Oryctolagus cuniculus: one gene and its partner. The protein of the gene in region 1 purifies or fractionates together with the protein of each later gene. This does not show direct contact. Links are inferred from orthologs where the notes say so. Each region holds a gene or a part of one and is shown in the gene's direction. Other genes may lie near its edges.

Region 1 (6,250 bases):
CGGAAACCAAGTCTTGTTTATATGACCCTTCAGAGTTTCTTCTGTACACAAAAATGGGATCAAATTCTGTGTGTACACTTTTTACTTCTGCATACTGTGACCATCTTACCATTGTCAATAAATAGACTTTGACAGCATTCTTTTTTAATCCAGTGTCCTTCTGTTTCCTCTTCTCCCGGCCCTGTCCCCAGGATCGACGAGAACGTGCTAGGAGCCCAGCTGGATGTTGAGGCCGCCCATTCAGAGATCCTCAAGTACTTCCAGTCAGTCACCTCCAACCGGTGGCTCATGGTCAAAATCTTCCTCATCCTCATTATCTTCTTCATCATCTTTGTGGTCTTCCTTGCCTGAACCCTCTCCACTCTGAGGCACTTGTGGGGGTTTGGGGGACCCTACTGGGAGGGCAGGTGGCCAGTGCTGCCACTGAGCCTGTGCAGGGTGCTGGGGAGAAAGGCCTTATTTCCCTGGAACTGCTAAGAATGGCCACTGCCCATGATCTCCCCACCCCTTGCCTCTGGCCACTCTGTCCTCCCCTTACTACCCTCAGGCCCTTGAAACACACGGTTCTGGATTTGGACTCTGCTGTGAAGTGGCTGGAAAGGAGCGGAGGCCAGCTGAGGGCTCGTGGGGGTGTCTCCACTAGGAGGTTTTATAAACCCTCCCCAGCATCTCCCAGTGGGAACTGTGGCAGCGGGGAAAATGATGCCCTTCCGCAACTTCCTGAGAGTGAGGAAAGGAAGCCAGACTGTCCCAGGGACCAACTTTCCTGTCTGGGCTAGAACTTGAGCTTCTTCCTCTGCACCATGGGAGACAGGGGGCCCTGAGCCCTTCAGCTGCCTGCACAACCCCTGACAGCAGCTGCTGGTGACTCTCAATCCGCCAAATATGCTGCAGCCGGTTTTCTCCCAATTACAGCAAGACTGTCAGCCTCACTCGCCATGTCGTCATTTCTGGGTGGGAGCTTCAAAGGGCGTGGGCAGCAAGTGGAGTGAGCGCACCGCGGAGCACCAGCACCGGAAGGATTGGGCTGTTGGCTCCGAGGGTCCCCACAGCGTTGGGGCTGTGTACACACTGCTTTGCCTCTAGGCAGGAGGTAGCCAAGTACAGTGGCACCTCATTAGCCTAGAAATTTCCTTTCGAAAGCGGGAGCAGGATCCCAGAAGGGGTACCTGATTGGTGGCAACTTCGGGAGCATCTCAAGCAGTGTTTGGTCCAGTTTCATCTGTGTCCTCCAGGCTTTTGGTCCTAATTCTTTCTGGAGCTGATTGAGGCAGGAGTTCTGCCTGCTGCCAGAAGGTGAATTGAAGAATGTTCCCAGCTCCGGCTAAGGCTGGCTCTCCTCCAAGCCAGACACAGGAGTCTGGAGGAGAGGCAGCACAGAGTACTCTCCAAGGAGGTCAATGAATTTTCATTCCCCACCAGGACCCACAACTCCACCATCTGAGATCACTAGCGCCCCCATCTGACACACCCCCAAAGCAGCTCAATCAGTGTACTTAGGGACTGGCCCTGGTACTTTTGGAGATCTGGGAGAGCCCATGGCCCTGGCATTTTTTTGTAAGAATTAATTTACTTAAAAGGCAGAGTTAGAAACATCTTCTTTCCACTGGTTCACTCACCAAATGGCCACAATGTCCAGGGGCTGGGCCAGGCTGAAGCCAAGAAACTAGAACTCTGCCCAGGACTGCCACATGGGTGGCAGGGTCCAGGTTCCTGGGCCATCTTCCACTGTTTCCCAGGCATGTTAGTAGGGAACTGGATTGTAAGTAGAGCAACCCGCACACAAACCAGTGCCCATATGGGATGTTGGTGTCACAGGGGGCAGCTTAAGCCACTTTGCCACAGCGCTTGTCCTGGCCCTGGCATTTTGAAGTTCCCTCTCCTTGGCATCCCTCAGCCAGTGGCCTACCACAGCTGGTCACGCTGGCTGCTCAGCTGACACGGGATGGGCTCTAGCTCCACGTCTGGGTGGGGAGGTCTTTGATGATGAATGCTCGCTCAAAGCTTTACACACGCGGCCTCACTTGACTCCTCGTCGTTCTTCGAAAGAGAAAGGACACAGAACAGAACGCATTTGTTTGATGTTCCAGTCATGATACTGAGCCAGGAGCTGGAAGAAAGCCATGGATTGGGGTTTCTGCTCCCACGGAGTTTACACTGTGGTTTTCCATTTCGTCTTTCCTTTTTTTTTTTTTTTTTTTTTTTTTTTGAGAGGCGGAGTAAGAGGTCTTCTGTCTGTTGGTTCACTCCCCAAATGGCCCCAAAGTCCAGAGCAGGGCCGATCAGAAGCCAGGAGCTTCTTCCTGGTCTCCCACGTAGTTGTAGGGGCCCAAGCACTGGGGCCATCCTCTGCTTTCCCAGGCCATCAGCAGGGAGCTGGATTGTAAGTGGAATAGCCAGGACTCCAACCGTTGCCCATATGGGAATGCCGGCGCCGCGGGCGCTTAACCTACAACGCCACAGCGCCGGCCCTTATTTCGTTATTATTAATCCATGTAATAGACGAGGAAAGCGAGGCATTGACCTGAAGCCGGCAAAGAGGAAAACAAATACTACCAGCATCCTGCTGAGGGGAGCGCCGAAGCGGGGTTCCATTTCTCGAAGGCTCTCCGTGCGGCCCCTTTCCCTAAGTTCTGAGCTCCAGCAGCCCGCTCGCTGTTGCAAAGCTAAAGAACTGCCACAGCTGCCTGGGAGAGCTGATGAAAAGGTGGCGGGTGACGGACGGACTAGCCGGCAGCGAGCCGGGCACCCGCGGGCTCAGCTCCGAGGCGGGGCCTGGAGGGGGCGGGGCCCGCCCCGCGCGGCAGCCTTGCGTGTGCGCACGCGCAGGGGGGCGCGCCCTCCCTGAGGCACCGCCCACAGCCTGCGGACGTCGCTGGCGCGCGACGTGCTTCGCCGGATAAATGCGGTGGCGCCCCGCGTAAGAGCGCTTGGGTCTTGAGCGCTTGGGCGTTTGGACGTTTGGTGGCGTCGTGGCCGGCGCCTAAGCCAGCCTCTGTTCTTTGCTGTGCGATGGCGGATGAGGGGAAGTCGTACAACGGTCAGTGCTGGATCTCGTGTGTGGAGCGGACGATCTGGGGCCCGGGTGGGCGGCGCCGGCCTAGGCCGCAGCTCGGGGCGAGAGGCCGCGAGGGGTCCGGCGTCCGAGGGGAGCGGCGGCAGCGCGGGGCGGGTGGGGGCAAGGCGGTCCCCGGGGGGCCGGCCGGACTCGAGGTGGGCGCGCGAGTTGACAGGACTCCGGGGCACTGGCGTTGGGAGGACCTGCGGCTCGGAGCGGGCGGCTCGGGTGGGTTGACGGGATTTCCTTTGAACTTTGAGAGTGGCTGGTGCCTGTCAGTTCAGTTTGGCGGCCCGACTCTTCCTTTAATGTGACTCAGTGGGCTGCCCTGGTGCCCTGGTTTTGTTGTTGTTGTTTTTTTTTTTCTTACCGCGTCCAGTCGGCCTTGCCTTCTGGCCTGTGGCTTTGGCTTAATAGTTGAGACCGACACACCAACTGGATGTTTTGGTCCCGACACCCTACCGGCTGTGAGTCCATTATAGTGGTTTGGAGGGCCCGGCAGCCGAGTTTTGAAACCTGGGTTGTCTACAGCAAGCTGGAGGGAGTTAAACTCTCAGGCCTCTTTCCCAAACCCCTTAGTGTGGAAAGTAACTACCTGTTTCCTCTGTGTGTGTGTAAGAGAGAAGAGAGACTGTGTGTGTATGAGACAGACAGACCGTGAGATCATTACATACCAGGTGCTGGTAGCACAGTGCCCGGCACAGGAGAGTGCCTTCAGTGAGTGTTCACCGTACCCTCTGTTCATGTATTCTGCTTGGCCGGGGTTATCTGTTGGGGCTCATTATTTACAGAGTACCGGGCACTAGGTAGATGCGTTTTTCTTTGGAAGTCATGGACCATTTTTAAAGGAGCCGTTCCTACGGAGTTAGTAGGTTATGTTTATCTAGAGAGCATCTGGGGACCTTTCATTGAGCAGCCTAGGGTGGGGCTGCTTCTCTGGTGCCTGAGTCCAGGCCCGGTCTCCTGAGCTTTTAAAGGGCTTTTCTGGCCAAGGAAACGGAGCATCTCAGAACTTTCAGAGTGGCAGTTTAAGAACGTGGAGTTATTTTAGAGAGCCCTTTCAGTTGATCCTGTTGTAACTTTCATTCAAGCGGTATAGGTACATAACTGAGTGGCAGAATTCAGGTGGTTTTCAGGAGTCTGACTTGTGGGCAGTTACACTTTTGGGTTGGCCACACTTCTCCATTCTGGTTCTCTTCTCTGTAGTTCTGGTTTCTGCTTCGTTTTTCAAAAGCCCTGCACAGTCTCCCAATAACTTTTCCCTGATGATGTCATCCACGGTTTTCTGGAGGTGGCCCCTGTGGTTCTTATGTTCTCTCCCAACAGTGAGGCACTGTGATTGCCATATGGAGGTGCTGGGAGCAGTGGTGTTAATAATTCGTGTGCCTGTTTCTAACCGTAGAGTACGATGACCGTGTTAGTTTCCCTCAAAGAAGAAAGAAAGGCCGGGGTCCTTTCCGGTGGAAGTATGGTGAGAGTAACCGTCGCTCTGGAAGAGGTGGTTCTGGTATCCGGTCTTCCCGGCTTGAGGAGGATGATGGAGATGTAGCAATGAGTGACGCCCAGGATGGTCCCCGAGTACGATAGTAAGTGACCAGTTCGTCTGGGTTATATTAGTGACCCCCTAGATTATATAGCCCTCTTAGTGGCCATGTCATTTCTCTTCCCACCTGGAAGAATAAGAAATGCCAGGACCAGTTTAAATGGTCCTGTACAGTGCGGGGACAGTCTTTGAGAAAACTTTGGTAGCACATATGGACATTTTGCTCTGCCTCCTCACAGCACCCCCTATGCTGCCCGACCCAACCGCCGGGGCGACACTTGGCATGGTCGAGAGCGTATTCATGTTACTGTGCGGAGAGACAGAGCTCCTTTAGAGCGAGGAGGGGCCGGCACCAGCCAGGATGGGACCTCCAAAAACTGGTTCAAGATTACGGTGAGTACTGTGGGAAACAAAGCGGTACAGGGACAGGGGGACCTTGCTCAGAGTACAGGTGTTTGTTATTCCACAAAAATCTGTTTTCTTGGCCCTTTACTGCACAATCAGGTGTCCTTCCTTTCTCTCTCTCTCTTTTTAAATATTTTATTTTATTTATTTGAAAGAGTTACAGAGAGAGGTAGAGACAGAGAGAGAGGTCTTCCATCCGTTGGTTCACTCTCCAGATGGCCACAACGGCCGGAGCTGCGCCGATCGGAAGCCAGGAACTTCCTCCAGGTCTCCCACTCGGCTACAGTGGCCCAAGGACTTGGACCATCTTCTGCTTCCCCAGGCCATATCAGAGAGCTGGATCAGAAGAGGAGCAGCAGGGACTAGGACTGGTACCCATATGGGATGCCAGCGCTTCAGGCCAGGGCTTTAACCTGCTGCGCCATAGCGCCAGCCCCCATCCTTTCTCTTAAGGGTCAGTATCTTAGAACACTTTAGAACAGGTTCAGAGAAGGCAAGGCAGGGAGTAGGTAGAATGGGACAGAAGGGAGATGTAACTGTAGTCAGAAGGCAGAGGAGCTCCTCTGGATGTCTCCAATTGGCTGAGGCTGAATATGGGGTTTGGACTCCCTGAAGTTCTGAGGGTACAGACAGGCACAGTATAGGTACTATCTTAAAACTGGCCGGCGCCGCGGCTCACTAGGCTAATCCTCCGCCTAGCGGCGCCGGCACACCGGGTTCTAGTCCCGGTCAGGGCGCCGGATTCTGTCCCGGTTGCCCCTCTTCTAGGCCAGCTCTCTGCTGTGGCCAGGGAGTGCAGTGGAGGATGGCCCAAGTGCTTGGGCCCTGCACCCCATGGGAGACCAGGAAAAGCACCTGGCTCCTGGCTCCTGCCATCGGATCAGCACGGTGCGCCGGCCGCGGCGGCCATTGGAGGGTGAACCAACGGCAAAGGAAGACCTTTCTCTCTGTCTCTCTCTCTCTCACTGTCCACTCTGCCTGTCAAAAAAAAAAAAAATCTTAAAACTTAGATCAAGCAACTTATTGTTTTGAAGAATAAGAAGTGTGTAAGTAGACAGAAAAGAGGTTAAGGAATCCATATGTCTCAAGTGAAAACCCTATGATTGGTTCTTTTCTTTAGAAAAACTTTTTTTTTTAAAGATTTATTTTTTTTTTAAGATTTATTTTAGTTATTTGAAAGACAGAGTTACAGAGAGAGGTAGAGACAGAGAGGTTCTTCTGTCTGCTGGTTCACTCCCCAGATG
Region 2 (6,221 bases), on another chromosome or scaffold:
CAACGGGAACTGAATGGTAGTAGGAAAGCAGTTTATTTCCTGAATATTTTAGAATATTTTAAAAATATTATAGTTTTGTGGTAATGCTTACATAACCCTGTGAGTACATCCACTGAATTGAAGACTTTAAAAGAATGAATTCTATTGGATATGAATTATATCTCAATAAAGCTTTTTTAAAAACTATTTAATTTTAACTAGGTGGTTCTCAATCAGAGATCTGAGAGGAAGGGACACACAGTTCTGGTTGTTTAAGATTAGTCCTGCTCAAGTCCAGAGTAAGGCAAAGATTCCAACAGGGATTTAGGTAACTTCCAGCGATTTTCATCTACACTTGACCAGGAGAGCTGGCTGCACAATACCACCTCAAGCAATTTAATCAACCCAATATATTGCTCCTATGATCTGTTATCCCAGGATCCCTGTTTCCTGAATTGTACTGATACCTCTCTCAATACACCAATAGTTACCTAATCTATCCCAATTTCAAACTCTCAAATACATAGCTACCAAATCTCCTCTGCAATAGGTAGGGAAATAATGTGCCTTAAACAGGGACCATATGACAGGCAGTGACACATTTAAATATTACAGCAATATTCTGAAATATATACTAATATTATTATTTCTATTCCATATATCAGGGGACTGAGTAATGCAATCACTAGGCAATTTGGCCAAAGTCACAGAAATAGTCAGCAGTGTTGTCAGGATTTTAACCCAGACTGATGCTAACAATGTGTTTGACCAAAATTCCACTCCATGTTCCAAGAAAAGCCCTTTTACTCCCTTCTGAGTCATTCTCCCAACATTTTGCACAAATGTAGTTATCTAGGAAAAAGCAATTCTGTTTCTTATTCACCTGGTTCCCACCCGACTCCCTAGTCAACAAGTTTTCTTATGGTTTAAATTCACTGCTCTATCCTAACAAAGCCCAGCATTGGTTTCTCCATTATCAGTTTACCAAGCCTCCCACGTCTGTAGCACACTAATGTAGCAATTCTTGCAGTGTAGCACAACATTCTTTGCAAAAAGTCAGTACAAAAAACTTTGAGGTCCTGCCCCCACTTCTCATTCAAATCTCCCTTTCCAGTATTCCCAGTAACCCCCTAGTTCCCAGCATTACTGACAACACCAATAGCTGCCCTTATAGTCATAAAAGAAGTAACCCAAACGATATGCATTTAGGTTCAGGGAAAAAGAAATAAAGGAAGACTTATAGAGGAGAGTGAACCTGCCCCGGTCCCTGAAGGGGAGCTACACATAGGTAGTGAACATTCTAAAATAAGAAGAGTATAAGAAAATTCATGAATAGCAGAGTTTCTAAGAGCAAAAACTTTGGGGTCAGACAGTATGGGGTTAAAATCCTATGTCCACTCGGTGTATCATTCTAGCCAATTAACTTCTTTGAACTTCAGTTTCAATTCTTTAAAATCTGGATAATAATATCTACCTCTCTCGGCTTGTAAGGATTGAATGAAACATGAAACAGCAGCCCACAATAAAGACAATAACCAGTAAAGCAGTAAAGAGTCCCTTTTGGCAAATAATAGTAGTTAATTTTGCCAGTGTTTGTGAATTTGGGAGAAATCTGAAAAAGACAAATTGAGAACAGACTAAGGTAGGTCTTCGAAGATTAGGAGAACTTTCCGGGGGACAAAAGAGATTAGAGTGATCACAGTTGGTGCATGGCGGAAAGAGAGGCGAAAAGATAAAAACAGAATAAGCCGCTTTAGAGAACAGGCAGAACTAGGAAAGTTATGTGGAATTATTTTGCAACTCATGAAAGCTTTATTTACTGTCCAGCACCCCCATTACACTTTATGCTTCATGAATATATGCGTTATGTCTGCTTTATTCACCACTCTATATGCAGAACCTTGCACAACGTCTGGCATCATAGTAAATGTTTAATAAATATTTGTTGAATGAATGATGATGCTCGGGATAGGGGAACGAACATTCCAAGGACTCCAGTAGAGATGACGGAAAGAATAAGGAGGACAGACTGGAAGTGCAGAAAAAAAAAAAAAAGACTAAAATCTGGGCTTCCAAGTGTTGAAAGCCTATAGTGTGTCGTGATATTCATGTTTAATAAAATTCCTTATTTGTAATTGGAACTCAGCAAGGAGGTGGTGCCTGTTGAGGTTTATTAGCATATATGTAACGGCTGTGATGAGGTGGCAGGAGGGAGAGCTTAAAGTGTGAGACATCCGGACATTATGAGGTGGCAGGAGGGAGAGCTTAAAGTGTGAGACACCCGGACATTATGAGGTGGCAGGAGGGAGAGCTTAAAGTGTGAGACATCCGGACGTGACGTCAGCTAGTGGCACGCTGAGGAGGACAGAGAAGTCCTGTATGGTGGCCGTTGGAGCTAGACTTAAAAAGAGAGTGACGGGAAAAACAAATTAAATTGAAAAGATGAGAAAATTCAGAAGAGACTGGTCTCAGGAAGACTATGAAAGGCGTCAAGGAAGGAGCGACTATCGTCATGAGGAGCCACAAACCAGCTACTCATAGTAAGATCCGATTAGACAGCCGTTAAGTCGTGGATGACTTGAAGGTGGACATTCTTAAGGGATGGTGGGGCGAAGAGCCAGATTGCTGCCGTAGTTTTATCATTTGGGCTTGAATCTCTTCCTGTGTCCCTGAGCGGGTTAAATACTTTGTATCTTAGCTAAAAATGGATTTGATAAAAACAGCAGTTACCTCGACACTACTGGAAATAAGAGAATGAGTAAAAATGTGTGGAAAAGTACTTTGTACTTGGCATTTTATCTGTTGTTTGCTTTGTGTGGTAAGTAACCGGGAAAAGGTAGTGAATGGCATCGTGAATTAATTCTTGTCTGAGATCGGCAATATATTTTAAAATGTATCGTTGAAGAGAGACTCGAGTCTTTACCCTTAAATATGCCCAAAGTAAAATCTAATAGTGAATAATCTCCAGAATACCACCAAACTTTTTTGCTTCAATAGCCTAGGTTCTTTGAGAATGTTCCAGAACTAAGCGGCAAACGGTTCTCCAGCAGTCATGCGCAGTATGCCTTTCCCCAAGGTCCGCCCCCTTTTTCCTATAGACCATGGATCTTGTAGGTCTCCGGTTTCTCATTGGTCGTCAGTGGGCTTTGACCCCCCCCCCCACTTCCTGTAGCAAAGAAACCCCCCCTTAAGTGGCCCCTTTTGATTCGACCCAAGGTGTACCGTTTAAAAATTGGTATACTTTTCTTCAGAGTATGCAGTTAGCAAAAGTAAAGTGTTCTTTTTTTCTGTTAAACTACATAAATAAACATCTAGTAAATAAATAAGCCAGGTGGGAGGAATCAATCGGAACTGAAGGGAGGTAGACCTACGGTTGGAACGTCGGGTTGCTTTTAGCGACGGACCGATCTACTTCCGGAACCGAATTGGCTATTAGAAAATTGTGCGCGTTTGGCGGATTTCGGTCTCTTCCCAAACGTTTGATCGTTTCGCAGCCGAGGAGGCCACAGACGCGAGGAGGTAGTAACGCCGCCACTGGACCAAAGTGCTTCGGGCTCCTCGATGGCCACGTCCGTGGTGAGTGTCCGGGTCGCGATGGGGAGTCTCGGCGCCCAAGCATGGGCGGTAGAGGGGAGGGGCTCAGGGTTGGACTGGCTCCTGGTCACATGAACAGGTAGCGAATCAGGGTCTGACCAGCCTGGCTCCGGGGCGGGGTCCACTCTACTGCCCGCCCTCCGAAAGTTGTGCCGTAGTATTTTGGTCCCGGAAAGGATAGTTAAATCCGGAGAGTGGAGAGGCAGGGTCTTAGTGTTTGTTTACGACTGAAACACTCTTCCCGATCTGATTCCCTAAAAATCTCTTTCGATCGCCTGAGAAACTGGCGATTCACTGTTATTAATTCAAGTAATACGCCAGGACCAGCGAATTTCTAGGCAAGAAGCTATTTGATCCTGAGTCCTGCGCAGCCCCCAATAATATTTTTCTTCTAATATTCTGCAATTCTTTGACAAACACCGGTAAATGTTTACATAGTAGAACAGTTGTTCAAGTGGAGCTACGTAGTTTTTCAGGTAGTTCCTTGAACTTCATTCTTTTTCTAATTTTTATTTTTTCCCTTTGAGCAGTTTTGAGTTTTGTCCTCACTTCTCCCTTGAAAGGAGAACTGAACACGTTCTTAGTTTACTCACTAGCTTCCCTTCCCCCTCCTTTTAAGGTTCATACAGCGTCGTGTTTATTAGGGTGGATGTTTTATTGGAAATACTGAAAGTTCAAAGTAGTTAGTTGCCAGGCAACAGTAGAAGTTTATACGTGACAAATGAAAATAATCTAATTCACAAATCAGAGATGATTATATATTGACATGCACCTACAAATAGTAAAAAAAATTGTTGACTTTTGAGTTCTTACCATTATTAAGCTTAAATTTATATTGACAAATGAGGACTGGGTATAGAGCAGTATGGTGATTGAAATAAATCATTAACTTCGGTTGGTGGTTTTGTGTTAATGAGGGGTTGGAAAGGTGGTAATCTATACCTCCAAGTTTTTCTCCTAGGATTTCAAAACTTATGTGGATCAAGCCTGCAGAGCTGCTGAGGAGTTTGTGAACATTTACTACGAGACAATGGACAAAAGAAGACGGGTGAGTGTTATGGACTCTACAGCTGTTTATTAAATACCAGTTCTCTTTTGTTGTTGAGCCAGCTATTAGTGTGACTTCAGTAAATGATAACTGGACTTGTTCTTTAAAAACAGATTGCTTAGGGAACGATTGGTATAGTGTTTGTGGAAGTATAAGTTTGCTTTTACCTAGTTCTCCCGATCATGGGCAAGTTGCTATTTTTCTTAATGTCATTTTATGATTAGGTTTGTAAGTAGGAATTAATTTGAAAACCGCATTTATCATTGGGTTTATCATATATTTACTTAAATATGTTACCTTGTCTTAATACCACCATTTATCCAATATGGTTAAGGAAGGATTAGCACCAGTGAAAGGATCTGTCATTACAGGGAATGCTTCCTGATTTGCCCCCTTTATTTCATGTATTAATAGGTAATTTCTGATTAAGCCTCATAACTATTGCTGGCACAAAGAGCATACACATAGCTAGGATACTTTAGTATTCAACAGACGAAGTTTTCACATCACCAGCATTTTCATTGTAATTTATCCCTGTGCCAAATCTTCTAAGTAATTATTTAGGTACCTGGGTGGTCAAATGGATCTAAATCTCTTAGCAGCATAGGACTGTGTTTTAGTGAACTTCTCTTCTGCAGATGCAAAAGTTGGTACTTTATCGATAAAAGCCCACCTTCTAAAGGCAGAAGATCAAAGAAGTCCCTGGTACTTCTGTTTGTTGATATAAGATGGGAAATGGGAAGAGGCAGTGGATGCTTATTGTTCCTTGTCTATAATTGTGCCTACTGTTTTCAAAAATAAAGTAGCAAAAAAGTGGGATATAGTTCATTATCAGTGTGAAGATAGATGTTGGCATTGGAACCCAAGTTAAATTATAGAATATTAAGAAATAATATTCCCTGTGACTCCAAATAGTTAACTGTTGAATTTTGTCTCATTTTGACTTTAATTTATTTGGTTCATCAGAGACTCTGCTTTAGCAAATACTCACAATTCTTTTGAACTAAGTAGACTAACAGAATAATAGCAATAAGGAATAATTCTTCCTAACACATGCAAAGATTAAATGATTCACATCTGTATAACCTCTGGGATTAAATTATAGTATGACTTGATTAACAAATTTATTAATTATCAGAGTTAGAAAAGGAAGAAAAGCTTGTCTGGGCTACATGTGCTTACAATTTGTGATCATTGGGGCCGGCACTGGCTCACTTGGTTAATCTTCCACCTGTGGCGCTGGCATCCGATATGGGTGCTGGTTCTAGTCCCAGCTGCTACTCTTCCAGTCCAGCTCTCTGCTGTGGCCCGGGAAGGCAGTGGAGGATGGCCCAGGTGCTTGGGCCCTGCACCCACATGGGAGACCAAGAAGAAGCACCTGGCTCCTGGCTTCGGATCTGCGCAGCACCAGCCATAGCAGCCATTTGGGGAGTGAACCAACGGAAGGAAGACCTTTCTCTTTCTCTCTCTCACTAACTCTACCTGTCAAATAAAAAAAAACAATTTGTGATCATTTATTCATTTTAATACATAAAGCAAAACTTGAAAACTATCTTCTAGCTTTTGGCTGCAAGGATTTCTTATTGTGGCTAATGTATAA

The links. The genes of interacting proteins can lie anywhere in the genome.
Region 2: the proteins of NXF1 (region 1) and NXT2 purify together in Homo sapiens (co-immunoprecipitation; 5 studies listed by BioGRID and IntAct, counting the BioPlex papers as one, with this or other methods). This does not show direct contact. The link is inferred for Oryctolagus cuniculus from reciprocal best matches to the Homo sapiens genes NXF1 and NXT2.

What each region holds. Positions count from the first base shown.
Region 1 is NC_091432.1:8,786,589-8,792,838, forward strand, and holds the start of NXF1 (nuclear RNA export factor 1), read left to right. Parts: upstream 1-2,835; 5' UTR 2,836-3,012; coding exon 3,013-3,040; intron 3,041-4,460; coding exon 4,461-4,644; intron 4,645-4,840; coding exon 4,841-4,994; intron 4,995-6,250.
Region 2 is NC_091453.1:83,963,096-83,969,316, reverse strand, and holds the start of NXT2 (NTF2-related export protein 2), read left to right. Parts: upstream 1-2,307; 5' UTR 2,308-2,421; coding exon 2,422-2,519; intron 2,520-3,473; coding exon 3,474-3,555; intron 3,556-3,708; exon of another isoform or gene 3,709-4,049; intron 4,050-4,329; exon of another isoform or gene 4,330-4,438; coding exon of another isoform or gene 4,439-4,441; intron 4,442-4,534; coding exon 4,535-4,621; intron 4,622-5,715; exon of another isoform or gene 5,716-6,103; intron 6,104-6,221. UniProt on the Homo sapiens protein: Regulator of protein export for NES-containing proteins. Also plays a role in mRNA nuclear export.